Notamacropus eugenii: one gene and its partner. The protein of the gene in region 1 purifies or fractionates together with the protein of each later gene. This does not show direct contact. Links are inferred from orthologs where the notes say so. Each region holds a gene or a part of one and is shown in the gene's direction. Other genes may lie near its edges.

Evidence for each region. The genes of interacting proteins can lie anywhere in the genome.
Region 2: the proteins of DLD (region 1) and DLAT purify together in Homo sapiens (affinity purification with mass spectrometry; 4 studies listed by BioGRID and IntAct, counting the BioPlex papers as one, with this or other methods). This does not show direct contact. The link is inferred for Notamacropus eugenii from reciprocal best matches to the Homo sapiens genes DLD and DLAT.

What each region holds. Positions count from the first base shown.
Region 1 is NC_092874.1:147,497,775-147,505,780, reverse strand, and holds the start of DLD (dihydrolipoyl dehydrogenase, mitochondrial), read left to right. Parts: upstream 1-4,820; 5' UTR 4,821-4,948; coding exon 4,949-4,987; intron 4,988-7,521; coding exon 7,522-7,600; intron 7,601-8,006. UniProt on the Homo sapiens protein: Lipoamide dehydrogenase is a component of the glycine cleavage system as well as an E3 component of three alpha-ketoacid dehydrogenase complexes (pyruvate-, alpha-ketoglutarate-, and branched-chain amino acid-dehydrogenase complex).
Region 2 is NC_092876.1:142,178,405-142,186,860, reverse strand, and holds the start of DLAT (dihydrolipoyllysine-residue acetyltransferase component of pyruvate dehydrogenase complex, mitochondrial), read left to right. Parts: upstream 1-5,222; 5' UTR 5,223-5,337; coding exon 5,338-5,616; intron 5,617-5,961; coding exon 5,962-6,063; intron 6,064-6,364; coding exon 6,365-6,489; intron 6,490-6,648; coding exon 6,649-6,805; intron 6,806-8,456.

The sequences.
Region 1 (8,006 bases):
AGTTTTTTTATTTGTAAAGTGGGGATGATAATAGCACCTGCCTCCTAGGGCTGTTCTGAGGACCAAATGAATATTTGTATTTATAAATTAAATTTGTAAGTTAGATATTTGCAAAGTGCTTAGCACAGGACCTGCCTTAATAAATAATAAATGCTTATTTTTTCTCTTCCTCCCTCTTTTCTTTCTTTCCTCTTCTTTCTCCCTCCCTCCTTCTGTATCTCTCTCCTTTCCTTCTTCCCTCTTTTGATCCTTCCCTCTTTTTTTCCTCCTTTTTTCCTCCCTCCCTCTTTTCCTTTTTCCCTCCATCCTTACCTCCTTCTTTTTCTTCTTTTCTTTCCTTCCTTTCCTCTTCCCTCTTTCCTTTCTTATCTCCCTCTTCCTTCCCTTCTTTCCCTTATTTACTCCCTCCCTCTCACATCTTTCCTCTTTCTTTCTTTTCCTCCTTCCCTGTCACTTCCTTACCATGGGCAAATCACTTTACATTTTTGCATTTCCATTTCCTCATCTGTAAAATGGTAATAATAATATCTCTATGTCTCAGGGTTGTTGTTGGATTCAAATCAGACAATATGTATAGAGCATTTGGGAAGCCTTAAAACTCAGAAACTTAAATGACTCTCTGCTCTCACTAATTTGGAAGTCAGCAATGTGGACTATAATTCATTCATTCCTTTCCTATCCTGTGTGACTCTTCTTCCCAAAGATCACCGCAGGAGATCCATCCAACATGTTGGTAGCCTTCCTCCCTTTCTTCTGACATTGTAAAGTACTAAGGGAGCACTCTGGTTGTCCACCCATTGTTCCCTCCCTCTTGTCATATGACTAGCAATTCTTCTTGCTGGCAAGCAACTCCTTTCTTTATTTCTTCTCATGGTTACATATGGTAGCCTGATCACATCCACCTTGTATCTTTTCATTGCCTTCTATGTGGAACTCATTTTTAGTTTTTCATACAGGGTAGTGTTTCATGTCTCACTACCATATAACAGCACTAGTAAAATGTTAGTATTGGGAGAGGGAAAGGAGTTTTTACTTTTATGGGAAGCTTGGGATCAGTAAATGAGCTTTGTAATTCCTGAAAGTAATCCAAATCACTTTCTTCTGTTCAGCTCTGGGCTGACAAAAGGCCAAGGTCTTCCACTGCATCAGGGCCATCTCCAGTTGTCCTGATCTATATCTTGCCACTGAACCCAGATGGCTGCAGAGGAGAAAGTGAGGTTGGTGACTTTGCACAACCATTTGCAAGTCATGGCATCACCTTCCTGATGTCATCAGGAATGAAGGACAATCAATAACCTGTGAGTACTTGTGAGTAGTACAAGTGCCTCATTGGGGACCCAACTAGCATGTTCTAGTTGGGCAGCACAGCTCCTCCCCTCTCCTTCCATACATGCCTTTATCTGCAGGTACTCAGCCTAAAGGAATGTAAATTTGAAACATCTCAAGATATTTTGGGGTTTATAGGCTAGATTTCTTTCTTAAGGGCCAAATCTTAAGTGCAATTCACTCTGACTCTCATTGATCGATCAACAATAGGTCCCAACTCAAGCACCACTTAATGGTCATACTTTGGGCCCTGTTTGGCTCAGAGTAAATGCAAATAGTATTTATTTCTGTTTTGACCAGAAACCCCAAGGGTCTTCCCAACCTGACTGATTTTTTTTTTTTTACTAGATCAAAGAGACCATTCTTTGCCACACTTCTTATCTACCCTTAATCACTGAATGTGTGCTGCCTCAGTCAGACTGAGACCTGGGAAAGACCTTACCTTAAAAAAGTCCAAGTTCTCCCACTGCATCTATGGCCATCATCATCAATAACAACAGCAACTCTGGGCTATCTGTACTTTCTGTCCTGGGTGTCACACACACACACACACACACACACACACACACATACACACACACACACAACTGTACAAGCTCTTTAGGGTGTTCATCCAAATGTATGTTGAAATTCAGCAATAGACATTCTTTATCCACTTGGTTTTTCCTATGTGTATGGAAAGGTGAAACTTCTTTGAGTGATTATAGATCTCTACTATCAATGTTCTGAGGCTTGGTGCAACCAGCACAATGTTATTCATAAAGAGGTGCATCTAATGGACTTCACAGAAAATGTGAGGAAATTTCTCTCTGACCTGGATTCTGCATTCTTTGATCACAGTGGTAAATACCTTTTTGAAAACATGACATCTACTTGATATATGCTTTGATGGATATTTGTTTTCAGAGGCTCAATGAATAAGATTATCTGTTTTGTTACATCTTCTAAGGAATCTTGAATGAACTTGATATGTGGATGCAATCTATATCAGGGGAATGATACAAAATCTTTGCCTGTCTTAGAGGCCTTTGTGGAAGGGCTGCCCCTCTCTTCCACAGAGGATAAATAAGGACTCTCACCCTCACCCAATGAATCAGAATTACCACCAAGTCAACAAAGTCTTTCTTCCAGGTAAATATATTCATTCTAATTATATAGCAACAATTTCATCTTCTTCATGCTCTTAGAAAGCAAGACACTCCAACGGTACCACTTTCTGGGAAGAGGTTCCTAAATTATCCCAAAGAAAAGGAAATCTGCCAATCAAGGGAGACCTGAGCTACTTTTCCAGGGTACATGGAACAATCTGAAGGGGCAGGCCCATGAAGCTAAGGCAACTCTTTGCTGGGGAAGGAATAAGGAAAGACTGGAGAGGATCAGCTAAAACTATTTCTAAAAATAGTTCATTCTCATCAGATAAGTCTTCCTGAAGACTGGATCCAAGAAACCACTGGATAAGACAGTCTTTCTCCTTTCCAGATGAGCATTGATTTGTCACACATATAGCCTCTGGGAGCTGGACACTTAATATGAGCTGTCAAATTCATAAAGATATAGCAGCTCAGCAGTAGGGGCAAAAGTCTTGCCCTGGGCTAAGAGAGTTCAATTTTGCCAGTTGGAGACTGGTTAGAGGCCACTTTGGTCAGGAATGGTTGGCTTGTTCTTAGTGACAGGGTCCTATGCCCATCACAGTATGATATCACTAACCAATATACATTGCTTGTGATATACCTTGGTGGAGAAAAGTGAAATAAATAATTATCAACAATAATTGAAAAAAATAATTATCAATAATAATTGAAATCAATAACTTATCTAGATATGGTTATCTAGTTTTACCAAGAAATTCCCATGCAAAAATCAGAAATAAAACTAAGGTAAAAATACTTTTGGGGGCTGGGATGGGGTGAAGGAGTGATCTAGCTTCTTTTCTTTTTCCCTTTTAAAATGTTTTTTTTGGGGTTACATCACTGTCACTTCCCAATGACTTCCCTGCACATAGAATCTTCCATTGTAACAAAGTAGGACATTTAAGTAAAACAATTCAACACATAAGTCAAGTCTGACAAGGTATCCTTCATTCTGCACCTATAATCCACCACTTCTGGGCATGCTTCATGAGTCCTCTGAAGTCATGATTGGTTACATTATAGTCTATACCTGCCATCACACAACTAGTGAGTACCTGAGCCCCGTTTTGAATCCGTGATATCTGGATCCAGCTAGGAATAAATGTCCTAGATTACCCTGAACCTAGTCTAACTGACTTGTTCTCTTCAGCTTTTACAGATAGGCCCTAAATTAAAACAAAATAAAACAAAACAGGGCACCTAGTTCCCCCAAAACATTTTCTTTTAAAGAGAGTAATGTTGGAGAAAGGAAAGGAGGTTAGACCTCTGCTTTTCAGAGACTTCACTGCCATTTGTTTTACTTAGGAGAATTAGGAGGGGAAACAATAGATGGAAATTACTTGCTACCTAATTACTGTCAATTGAATTTTTAATCAGCTGTAATGCTTGACACCTCTGCTTACCATACAAATGGTGTCCAAATTGCAGGAAAGGACCTAACACTGACCTTTATGGCTCTCTGACAGGTTGGTTTCTCACATTATTATCATATTACCTCCAACTCATGGTCTCATTCAGCTAAGAAAACACGTCATTCACTAAGGTTCCTTCCACCAGAGTGACTTGTTTTTCCTGTTTGTACAGCAAAAGAGGAATTCAGGGATTCTGAAACTGGGGATTGTGTACTGGAGAGGAATGGTCTTGGTTGTGGCAAGATGGAAGAGTGAATTACATTTTTTTGGACTGAATTTGCTATTGTTTTACAATTTCTGAGCTGGAATCTCCCTCTGCCAGTGCAGATCATAGTCTTCTCTGCAGCTTACAGGTCTCAGAGGGTTTTCTTGGGGGCCTGAGGTTAGTGACTTGCCCAGGGTCACACCTTCAGTAGCTGTCTGACACAGGACTGTGAACTCAGTTCTTATAAGCTGGGGGTCAGCCACTACCTCCCCCCCTTCTCAAGGGAATGAGAAGGCGATGAAATCTATAAAGGAAAGATCCAATTTTTCCTTTCTTTTCTCCTACTGTCATTTTTTTTGGTTCCAGGACCCTTTCACACTCTTAGCATACTGAGAACCCCAAAGAGCTTTTATTTAGGGGAGAGAGTGAAGGAAATAAACATTCACATACATACATACATATATACGTATATATATATTTATAAAATGCACTATGTGCCAGGCACCGTTAGGAATTAAAGCATCTTAAGTTTTATTTGAACTCAGGAAGATGAGTCTTTCCGGCTGCTGGCCCCGAACGCCGCCCCTCCCTTAGAAAGGGAATTTATAATCTAGATAAAGCAGAACTCCTTGAACACCCCAGCCTGTCCGGAAGGGAGCCAGCGGTTCCTTAGTCCCACCCCCTCCTAAGGACACGCCCAGTCTCGGGGGAGGTTCCCGCCTTCTACTTCCGGGGCGTCCCAGCCAATCCGAGAGCTCGCCGCGGGCCGTCGGGATAGGGGCCAGGTGCGCAGGCGCAGCTTTGAGTCCTTGGCGCTGTGGAGGCCGCTTTTGGCGGAGGTGAAATCTCACGGCGGCGGGTCATCCAGGAGAAAAATGCAGAGCTGGAGCCGTGTGTCCTGCGCCCTGGCCAAAGTAAGGGACAGCCCCGCCGCCTGGGGTGGGAATGGTCAGGAAGATGGGGGGCCCGCGGGGACGGGCCGGCTAGCTAACGGGACTAGGCCCCAAGCCTGAAGGGGCAGGACCGCGGCCTGGGCTGGTGTCTCCCCATGGCTGCCTAACCCAGCCTGGGGGCGGGGGGAGAAAAGCTTGTCTTTGGCCTAGTTGTCCTCGGCCCCGCTCCCGGCCTGCTCGGGGTCACCCTCACGCTCCTTGCCCCAGCCTTGCCCTCAAGGGGAGCCCGAGGCGGGGAAGCCAGGCCACCTTCCGCCGCGCTCCCCAGCCCCTCCCTCCTTCCACTTTAAATGTCACTTGTGTCCTAGGAGCCCCTAGTCCAGGACGCTACGTGCTGCCCCAGCCTCCGCTTTGGGAGAGGCGGCCGGGACGGAGCAGCTCTTAGGCTGCAGGAGTAACCACGCTCCTTTCTAAGACCTAGGCGGCCCTCCGCACAGCTCTGCTAAGTAAACCATCAGCACAGTACCATCGTGCCCATCTCACAAAGGTGGAACCGGAGGCGGCTCAGGGCACCGACGTGATGTCCCTCCTAGTTTCCCATGCCAGCAGGATAGAAACTTAGTTCTTACATTTACACGACAAGCCTCAGTCTGCTTTCCTCGCCCATCCTTGGCAAGACTCGTACTCTTTGGGCATGCTGGGGTGTAAGCTCCTGGGGGGCCAGGCCATTTTTTGCCTCTTTTTGTATCCCCAGCCTTTAATACAGGGCCTGACACATAGTAGGCATATAATAAATGTTTATCGAATGGAACTGGTAGAACTATTAACGCGGACCATATTAGGAGATCCCAGAGTCATGCTATTGGTTGGCATTGGTTGGCCAAAAATCCACTCCACCACCATCTCAATAAATAGACATCCTCCTACCTCTGCTTAAGAGACATATTTCTTTCCACTCCTTCTTCTTGACGAAGAAACTGAGGTCCGAAGAGGTTTTATTTTTTTCTCAGATCCCTGGGAAAATTAATTACAGCCTTTACTAGCTGTTTCCCTTTGTCATAAGGAATATTTTGGATAGAGAAATTATTGTTAAAATTTTTGTTTTGCTTCTCACTCTCCCGTGCAAAATGATAAGAGCCAGTTGCTTGATCTCCTTGTGCCTCAACGTCCACATTAATACTAGCTAACACGTCTTAAGAGTGTTTTGAAAGTTGTACAGCTGGTCCGTGCTATACTGTCTTCTGAAGAATTGTGTCCTAGAAATGTAAAATTTAACCGTTTAACTTATGTTTTGTTAGATTATTTCAGATGAATCCAACCTTACTTCATTACTCTCCATATTTTTTTTGTCCTCCAAACTGTACTACTTCCTGTCCCCCTCTACAGCTCTCCCACTTCATGCTTATTTTTTTCCATCTTACACTACTTTCATATTCTTTTTACTTTGCTTGGACTATATTTGAAACGTTCTTCCTCTTTACAGGTTCAACTGATTACCAGTCCTTTAAAGGGAAATTGAGTCACTTCTTCCTTTTGGAGCAGGGATTGTTTAATTCATTGTATTTGTATCCCCAAAACGGTGCTTGACAGAGTAGATGACTGATAGATCGTGAATCATCCCTACTCTACTATAGTTCTTCCTCCTAATTCACTTATCTCTTTGTTTTGCCACTCTTTAATGTCCTGTTAAAAGTAGCATTGTATTATAGTTGTGTGTCTTACCCTAACCTAGACTGAAAACTTCCTGAAGGGAGGAGCCATATTTTATTGAAACTTTTAGAGATTTCCCCTGGGTGTTTAGTATAGTGCTTTGTACAAAATTTGAACTTAGTGTTTGTTCCATAGTCAGTCAACTAAGAAACATCTTCATAGGACCTTCTCAGCAAATATTGCAGATTGTATATGAATGACATATTGAGGGAGAAAAGTAAAAAATACTAAAGGGTTAGGGTCACAGATTTATTCAGGTCAGTGATAAATTAGAGCTTAATATATTAAAAATTAGATAAATACATTATTTTAAGTAAAGGGATTTTGACTGAATTATGAGGACATTTAGCTGTACTTTTCTGAAATTTTGCCAGTCAGTAAGCAAGTAAGTGCCTATTTGGTACTAAGGAACTATGCTAGGTACTGGGGATGCAAAAGTATTCTTGTTCTTAACTTTAAGGAGCTTGTCTTCTGTTGGGGAAGACAACATGCATGCACAGATATAAATCTATACAGAATAAATACAAAATAATTAAAATTCTCTCCTTTGGTATGTGAATATGCATTATATATAGTTTGTTTTTCTTTCATAGAGTATAATAAATTCAGTATGTTATTTTCAAAGCTGTCCTGTCTGTTTCTTACTGAACTTTCCCCTCTTCTTTTCTGAACATTTAGAAGAAATACTTCAGTGACTCTTTTTTCCCTTTTAAAAATTTTGATAATCCTTCTTGTCTTTTATATAACAATGGAAATTAGAAATAGTGTAAGTATTCTTACCAACTTTGAACTGTATTGGAGTTAAATATTTACATACTGTGAAACTTGCTTTTTATCTCTTCAAGAGAGGCCACTTCAGCCGAATGCCTTATGGCCTACCAGGGATTTCTGCAGTTCCTTTGAGAACTTATGCAGATCAACCAAGTAAGTGCACTTTTTCTGGTAAATTTATTTCATATCAGATTGGTAGTTTCCTTAAGTTCTAAAACAAAAAACAGAATGATTATTAACAAAGCAATCTGTGGTATAGAGTTGACTATTTCATAGTATTTGGAATATTGAAATTAAATTATTAAATGCATACTGAACATAAGCAAGTGATACAGAAATGAATATTATAATAAAGATAGAACGTAGTTGTATATCCATTAGAATAATTTTGGGGTTTCCTGGACTTTTAGAAGGCAATGGTTTGTTTGACTGCAAGGTGGAATATCATTGATTCTTTACCAATGTACCTTGAATATCATGATGGAAATATATGATAATAGTAATTAATAGCTGATATTTACTGAATACATTAAGATTAATAAACCTATATATGTGTCTG
Region 2 (8,456 bases), on another chromosome or scaffold:
TCCTCACGTACTTGAGAGTAAAGTGGACAACTCAAGTGATGCAGCAGTATCCCGAATAAAGATAAAAGATCTAGAGGAAGACGTCTTATATGTGGGACAGGAGAATTCTACAGGAATCTTTAATAATTTGTGGAAAATTAGGAAAATAAATGAACCACAATATGACAGAAAATATAGATCCGTCTCTATCAGCCTAGTTAGAGAAAATACATCAGTGGGATCATAAAAACATTGAAATGTACTTTTGTAAGTATGTCCCTCGGCTTATAAAACAAAGGAACTACAGAGCTTCCACTACAAAGTAATGGGGATTAGTTGTAAATGTAAATTCCCCACCTGAATGCAGCACCAATAAACATTTAATAACCCCACATTTACTGTCTGCTGAGCACCTTGTTAGGCCTTAGGGAAGATAGTTTACATAATAGGACAGAGTCCCAGCCACCAGTGGGCTTAAGAGTCTTAGAGCGTAAAGCATAATCAAATGAATGTTGAACTTGAGGTCAAGAGATCTGGGTTTGAATCCTACCTCAGACATTTAACTAGTATGAGGGAGGATGGTGTTTTACAACCCTGAAAATTCAATGTAATTTCAAATTCAGGTAGAGGTGATAAAAGATAGCCTTTGAGATACTTTACAACTCTCACATGCTATGTTGGGTAGGAATTTTATAGGCAAACGGAGGGAGAAAGTCCCATTTCATCCCCAGTATACGGAACAATCAGAGCAAAAGTATGGAGACATAAGAACCGTGCATGTTTAGGGGATAGAAAGTTATCCAATTTGACTGAAATGTAGAGGAGGGACATGAGAGCTATTTCAAGTACTTGAAGCTGTCTTCTGGAAGAGGAATTAAATTTGTTTTTGCTTGGCCTCAGAGAAGCAGAAGTAGGAGCAGTGGATATAAGATTGAGGAGAAAATTTTGGCTTAAGAGAAGGGAAAACTTCTAAAGGTTGCCTTATGAGGAAATGTATTCCCCTTCATTTGAAGTCTTCCAACAAAAGCTAGATGACCTACCTGTTTGGTATGCTGTTGAGGATATTCTTGGTCAGGTATGGGTTGGATTAGATGGTCTATAAAATCCTGCTCACCTCTGATTCTGTGCATGGAAGTGATTAATACAAGATAAGGCAGGAAAAGGAAGCTAAATTATGAAGAGTCTTGAATGCCAGATAGATGTCTGAACTCTCCCTGGGTCTCACTGACAGGTTGGGTCCCCCAGAAGTAACTGTTATTCCTCTCAAGGTTCTAGGGACAATCCCATGAGTGATTATCATTCCAAATGCCAGCTCATAAGCCCCCACTAGTATGCTTCCCCTTACAATCAATTAGTAGGTTCATTTAGTTCTTTAGCAAAGGCATTTATTCAAATAGCATAGCAAAAAACAGTAAGTAGTCACAAAGCATTTTTTTCCAATATAAAGGACATATTCTTCCACAAATACACTCAGAAATCAGGAAGCTGGTAAGAGTGGACATGAACTTAAAAGGTGTGTGTGTTCATCCTTCGTTGCCAAAGAAGACCATGCCATCAGAGAAACGATGACATGACTTGTACTTGTGAGGGAGGGTTGTACAGGTTGCCAGCCTCACTTCTCCTCCACAGCCAACTGAATCCAGTGACTTGATATTCCTCGGGATGACTAGAGATAACCCAGGATGAGACAATTGGGGTTAAGTGACTTGCCCAAGGTCACATAGCTAGTGAGTGTCAAGTGTCTGAGGTGAGATTTGAACTCATGTCCTCCTGACTCCTGCACTGGTGCTCTATCCACTGTACCACCTAGCTGCCCGTTGAATTTAAAATACAGTGGTAATGAAACACAAGTACTAGGGAACCCATATGGCTAGGCAATTCACTATTCCAGAGCTTCTAGGCCTCATTGTCCTTTCTTCAGAGGGTCATCACAAAGTTAACTTCTGGGCCTGCTCTTGAGGGTGTATTCTTTTTCTTCTTTTAGTCACTACTGTCTTCAGCTGGAAGAGTATCAGCATGCTCCTTTCAGCTGGAGTACTTTAGAACTCTTTTTAACTCTTGTGATCGTTCTGAAACTTGGACTTATTCATTTAGTGTTATCATGAGTCAGGTGGATTTCATAGGTCCAGGAAAAAGTAGGACCTACAGAAAGGAGGGCTGTTGGATTCCTGACTGAGGACAAAAAAACAGAAGCCTCTGTGGGTCCTTGTGAGCCTTCTTCTAATGGCCAAGCCTCTGCAATTCTTTGAAGTTGATTAAACAACCTTTCCAATTGTAAGGATGTAGGAAAACTTGCACACCTCTTTTTTTCTAGATGAAGAAACTGAAGTGGAGAGAAGACTTGCCCAAGGCCACATATATGTAACTCAGGGCCTTTTTTCCTTCATTGTTGAGGGCCAGGGTGGAGTGCTGTTGACAAGATCAGGAAAGATCTTTGGGGAAACTGTTCTTTGAGACTGTGCTCATTATCATGCGGAATGGCTCTCCACGCTCCCCAGACGTTGCTATCTCCGTGAGACAAACATGGGAACTACAGAAAACAAGGGATATGTAAAATAGATGTCCTGTAGGCTAACAGTCTTTAAAGACAATAAGACTGGCCAAATCACTGGGACAGGAGACGAGCAGAATGTCACATAGACTTGCAGTTTCTGTCTATATATACCCTAACCCTCGGATCAATAAATGGAATTGGTCTATCTTTTCCCGCCTCCCGTGTCTCTTTTCTTCACCACTTCACCGAGCTGTGTAGGGACGCGGGCCGTCTGCTACACTTCATCAACTTCCCAACCTGAAAGTAATTATATAACCCACTGCTTTATAATTAATATGATTAAATAATATTTATAACTCTGGGCGTACAGGCATTAGGGTCTATCTTATGTGCTTCTCCATAACAATAATAACTGATGTCTCTCTAAGGACACAGCTGACCTGCCAGAGCTTAGGCTAACAAGACATCAGATGTAGGACTGTTTTTATACCACCTGATAAAATACTTAATAGGCTTGAACCTGAGTCCATTAGAACTGCAGGACTGGGAAGTCCTTTGTCTCCTCATACAGTCCTCAATGTGGCCCACCTCTTGCTATCAATGGACTTTCTTCAGTCCATAGCAAACTTTTTATCTGTTCCCAGGGTTAAGTTCCAGTTGTTTCCTCCATTAAGGGCTATGTCTATGTATCAATCTGTGAGGTGTGTCTCTACTTCCTCAACTTGGCCTCAAATTTGCTCAGCCTGACTCCACTTTCTGGATGGGGTGCCTTCTTCACGGAGAGTAACTATGACTTGTGCAATCTTTGGCTCAAAAGGCTAACTATAATACGAGATTCTCTTCCTGTTGGTAGAGACTGTTCAATACCCTGCTTATGGAGGCCTTATAGACCAAGTTGGTGAGAGCTGGAGGCTTTTCTGCTATTCAACTTCAAAAGATACCATGATTCCAATCTTTTTTAACTAGATAACTGCTGATTAGGGGAGGAGGGAAAACACTTCATTCTAACCCTGGCACTGGGGATCTCACAGAGCAGCTGCTCCACAGATTTGATTACCTCCTACTAAGGAACTGCTAGATGATTTATCTAAGGGCCTAAGGGCACCGACTATTTATAATCTTCTTGTTGATTAAGGAAGTTTTAGTTACTTTTGGTACAAGGAAAACTTTTAACAAAACCTTTACATCAGTAAAACGATCCATCTCGCTAACATTCCTTCAGGCTCTATATCTTATGACTTTTTCTTATGATAATTACTGAATCAAACCTCCCAGCACGACTTCTGAATGGAATCGGTTACACAATGGAAATCCTTTGGTTACACAATAGTAACCTTAGGCAGGCAGGTGGGGTTAATGGTCTCATGTAATGGTTCACCAAGTATAGAGTAATTTTAGTAAGAGTCCACATTCTTTCCCCACTTCTCTGGCCAGGAACCCTGAGGTTGCGGGCGCCACCTGTCGGATGCTGGGGATCCTTAACTGAAACTTCTGTATTTGAACAAGAGGCACTGTGTTACTGAGGAAAGGGCACTGCATTTTGAGTCAAGGGTCCTGTTCTATACATAAATCACAAGTGGGAAGGCAGGGGGATTACAAACAGTCGTCCCCAGGGCCCGAGTGGTTCACTAGGACAAACCCACAAATGGAAGACAATCCAACAATTCTGGAGTATCGTGGGAGCAATATTGCTAGAGTCCTTGGGGAGCGGGTCGTTACTTAGTCACAGCAGGAGCAGGTTCCAGTCTTTGGCTTCACTTCAGGTACACAGGCAGAAGGATGCCAGTGATTGTGAGCCCCGCAAGGTGTGATTGATCAGTTCAAGCTGCATTGTGGGTCTGACTCACAAGCTGGAAAAGGCAATTCTGCAAAATCTGATCGATTAGCATATTCATTACACACATAAAATTGATTATAAAAATCAGAATTCCCTCCACAGACCTGTTTTTTACTATTCCACCAATAATTTTGGGCAATTCCTTTTATATCTCTCCGTCTGATCAGCTATAATAAAAGGAATTTGTCGTTTAGTCTAGTTCAGCTCTTTGTGACCCGATATGGGGTTTCTTGGCAAAAATACTGAAACAGCTTGCTATTTCCTTCTCCAGCTCATGTTACAGATAAGGAAACTGAGGCAAGCAGGATTAAGTGACTTGCCCAGGGTCACACAGCTAGTGAGCCTCTGAGACTGGATTCAAGCCCAAATTTTCCTGACTCCAGGGTGGGCCCCTAGCTGCCCAGCTGTAAAGTACTGTATTAAAATCCGGGTTCTGCTCCTGGCTCCCTGCGTACCTTGGGTAACGAGGCACCTGGACCTCAGTTTTCTCACCTGTAAAATGGGACAAGACAACTTTTTTCCACTTCTAAACCTCTGACCCTCAGACCAGAAATAAGCGCTGCGGTCCTCACTCCTCTCTCAGTGCCCGGCGCGGCCTTGAGCGAGTCACTCGAGGGCTCGGTGCCTCAGTTTCCTTCTCTGAAAAGCGGCGGGCTGGGGCAGACCCTCTCTGGGAAGCCTTCCCACGTCAAGCCCGGACGGCAGCTCGAGCACGACGGCGGCCCCTCGGCCTCGGCTCACGACGCTTCCCCTCTCCGTCCCAGCCCGGGCCTCTCCAAGGCTCGCTTTTCCCTCGCGCACCCCGGCGCTCCGCCCCACGCTCGTCCTCCCCCGAACCGCGGCCGGAGGAACTGGGCGGGACGACTTGGGAGGGACTTCCCTCGCTCTTTTACGACAGTACCCTCCTTTACCGTACGGCGCGGCGCGGTTGACGGCGGTGTCGCACGGTGGTCGCGGAGGTCACACAGGAGACGACGGCGGCTGCGGCGGCGGCTCCGGCTCACGGGCGCAGGCTCTCGGTGGCACAATGTGGCGAGTGTGCGCGCGGCGAGCCCGGTGCGCGGCCCAGCGGACGGGGTTTGGGAGCCCGGCCGCAGCCGTGGCCCCGAGGGAGGGCCCTGCGGGGCTGGCCCCTGGCCCGGCCGCCACCCCTAGGCTCTCGCGTTCTTCCCACTGCGGGGCTGGGGCGCTGCAGGGCTGGGGGCCTGGCTCCGGCTCGGCGGCCGTGCCGCGGGCTCGGCTGCTGCAGCTGCAGCTCTTGGGGACCCCGGGCCGGCGCTGGTACAGCCTCCCCCCCCACCAGAAGGTGAGGCCGCCCCCCGGCCCCCAGGCCCTGGTCCTTGACCCGGGGGTCTCGGGCCTTCCAGGCCTGGGCCGGAGACCCCCTCCTCCCGGCGAGTCCTCCCCATCCTGCCCTCTCCCCACCCTCACCCCCACCCCGTCCCGGTGGCTGGGGGCCGGGAGGGGACTGCGTGACAGACTGGAAATGTCACCTGAGAGGTAGCGTTCCTGCTGCCAACTCCACAGGGACGGGCTCATGGCAAGGAGCTGGAGCGTCTCACCGGGCTTCCGAAGGGGGCCCCGGAGCCCGGGAGGGAAGAAGCAGTGCTTGCCCTTTCGAAAGCAGGTGTCCCTTCTCTTTTCTTTCCAGGTTCCTTTGCCTTCTCTTTCCCCCACGATGCAGGCGGGCACCATTGCCCGATGGGAGAAAAAGGAAGGTGAGAAGATCAACGAGGGTGACCTTATAGCCGAAGTAAGTAGTTTGGAGAGGTGGGAAACTGAAAGCATTCGGATCGGGGTGCCTCGGAACTAACTCGGTTGTCTGGGTGGATAGTCTGAAGTATGCCGCAGCTTTGCTGGATGTCTTTCATAAGTCTGTCGGTGCATGAATGACCAAGCTGATTTTTATCTGAGAAGTCTTTAACAGCTTCTTTGATGTCTTTACAAAGGTGAAAGTTTTATTTTCACTTGTGAACTTTTTAATGCCAAATTAAGGTAATAAACGTCAGTCTGGCTGTGAGTATTTGAAAACATCCCATGTCTTCTGTTTGAAGGTTGAAACAGACAAAGCCACAGTTGGATTTGAGAGCCTAGAAGAGTGCTACCTGGCTAAGATAATTGTTCCAGAAGGTACCAGAGATGTTCCAATTGGAGCAGTCATCTGTATCACTGTTGAAAAGTAAATACTCTTGATTTTATCTGCTTGAACATTTCCATGCGCAACAGTTGGATATTGATGTGTTTGAACCTAGAATTGAGGGATGGCTAGAAGTTACCTTTTCCTCCATGACTCACAAGGGTAATGAAAATGTCTATGTGTGTTTTCTTCCCACCTTAGAGCAGAGGATGTGGATGCATTTAAAAATTACACCCTGGATTCCGCAGCAGCAGCAGCCCCCCCCACCCCACAGACTTCCACACCTCCTCCCCCTGCTTCTGTGCCTTCAACACCTTCTGTTCAGGCTCCAGGAAGCTCGTATCCTCCTCATATGCAGGTAAAGTTTAACTATTGAACTTTCCCAAGAATTTGCCTTTTCAATTGATTATTAATTCCTTTACATTTGTGTGTGTATTACTAATCTTGAGGAAGCTTAAAAACTGAAGTGGTTTATAGTTAGGTCTTTCTGCAAAGATAAAACAGTTTCCATATAGGAGTAAATAACAAGCATGAAAACTCAAGCTGTACCCATACCTGGAGGGTTCCTTTCAACCTGATCTCTGCCTTTTAAAGTACTACCTCTAGGTGACACCTTTTCTGTGAAGCCTTCATTGAGTATGCTCATTCCCTTCTATTTATCTGTTTGTATACATGTTGTTTTTCTGGTGTCTGTTCACAGTCCCTTACACTTAGTGAAAACTGAGTGAAGTTTATTCCCACATGTGACCTTGGACAGCTCCTTGGACCTTGCTGAGCCTGAGTGTTTCCATTTGTAGATCTAGTAGTTTAACGCTGCCTTCTTCCCGTGTCAGGGACGTTGCAAGTGTAGTAAATTATAAACCCATAATCAATATTTTGTAGTTTTTTTTCCTAAACATGTTATAATTGAAATCCAGAGACATGTTTGTCAAGTGCCTTTCCTTTTCTTTGTTTGTGATTAATTATGTCCTCTAAATTTAAATGGGATGGTTCTAGTCTTTCAGTAACACTGATGGTTTAAAGTTAGGAAACTGACAGCAACTAATGTGTATAAATTTAAATGTGTAAATAAACATTTGTTTAGAAACATAAGACATTAAGGCCCTCTTACTATAAAGATTTTATGACTTTTAAACATTGAGTTAGGTCAGAGTTGCTTGAAATAAATCTAGTATCTATTCATGATAGATGTATCTCTCATGATAGAGATAAAAGATGGAAAGTATTCAGCAGTATCTTCCTCCTGAAAGTTGGTTCAAACCAATATATCATTTATATGGCTCTGTCATTTGCCACTTTGTAGAGATTTCCAAAGAGGAATTATTTCTATTTTTTGGGGGAGGATCATGCTCCTCCTTATCATACTCTGACATCCCCTTGCTATTACCAGTGAGAAACTGGTATATTCAGTTTAAGCTCGTGTTTCTTCACTCTGCATTGTTGTGTTCCCTTGAATAATTATGCCTCTTTTGTTATTTTCTCTTTTATGCTCAGACTCTGCATCTTAAATAATTCACACATTTTAAAAAATTGTTTTGTTAATCTTAGTAATCAGATAATGATGACAAGTTTTAGAAGGAAGATTACTTTTGATCTGAGTCACCTGGTTTGCTGTTTTTGGGAATATATGAATCGTTATTGTTGTGTTTGTCCTTTGCTGCCAAAGAAGACCATGCCATCAGAGAAATGATAACATGACTTGTACTTTGTTTTGAGTGAAGGAGGACTGTGCAAGGTCACCAGCCTCACTTCTGCCCTGGAGCCATCTGGATCCAGTGACCAGATATTCATGAGGATGATTGGAGATGGCCCAGGATGCAGTGGGAGACTTTGGCCCCTTTAGTCCAAGGCCTATTTGGTTCTCACTTAGAGTGAGATAACACCCATTTAGTGAATAGGCCTGTTTAAGCAGTAGTCAGGGGATGGCCCCTTTAATGAGGCAAAGAAAAATAACTACATCAGGCTGGGAGGGAAACAGCAACAGTTACTATTGATAATCACTCTTAAGC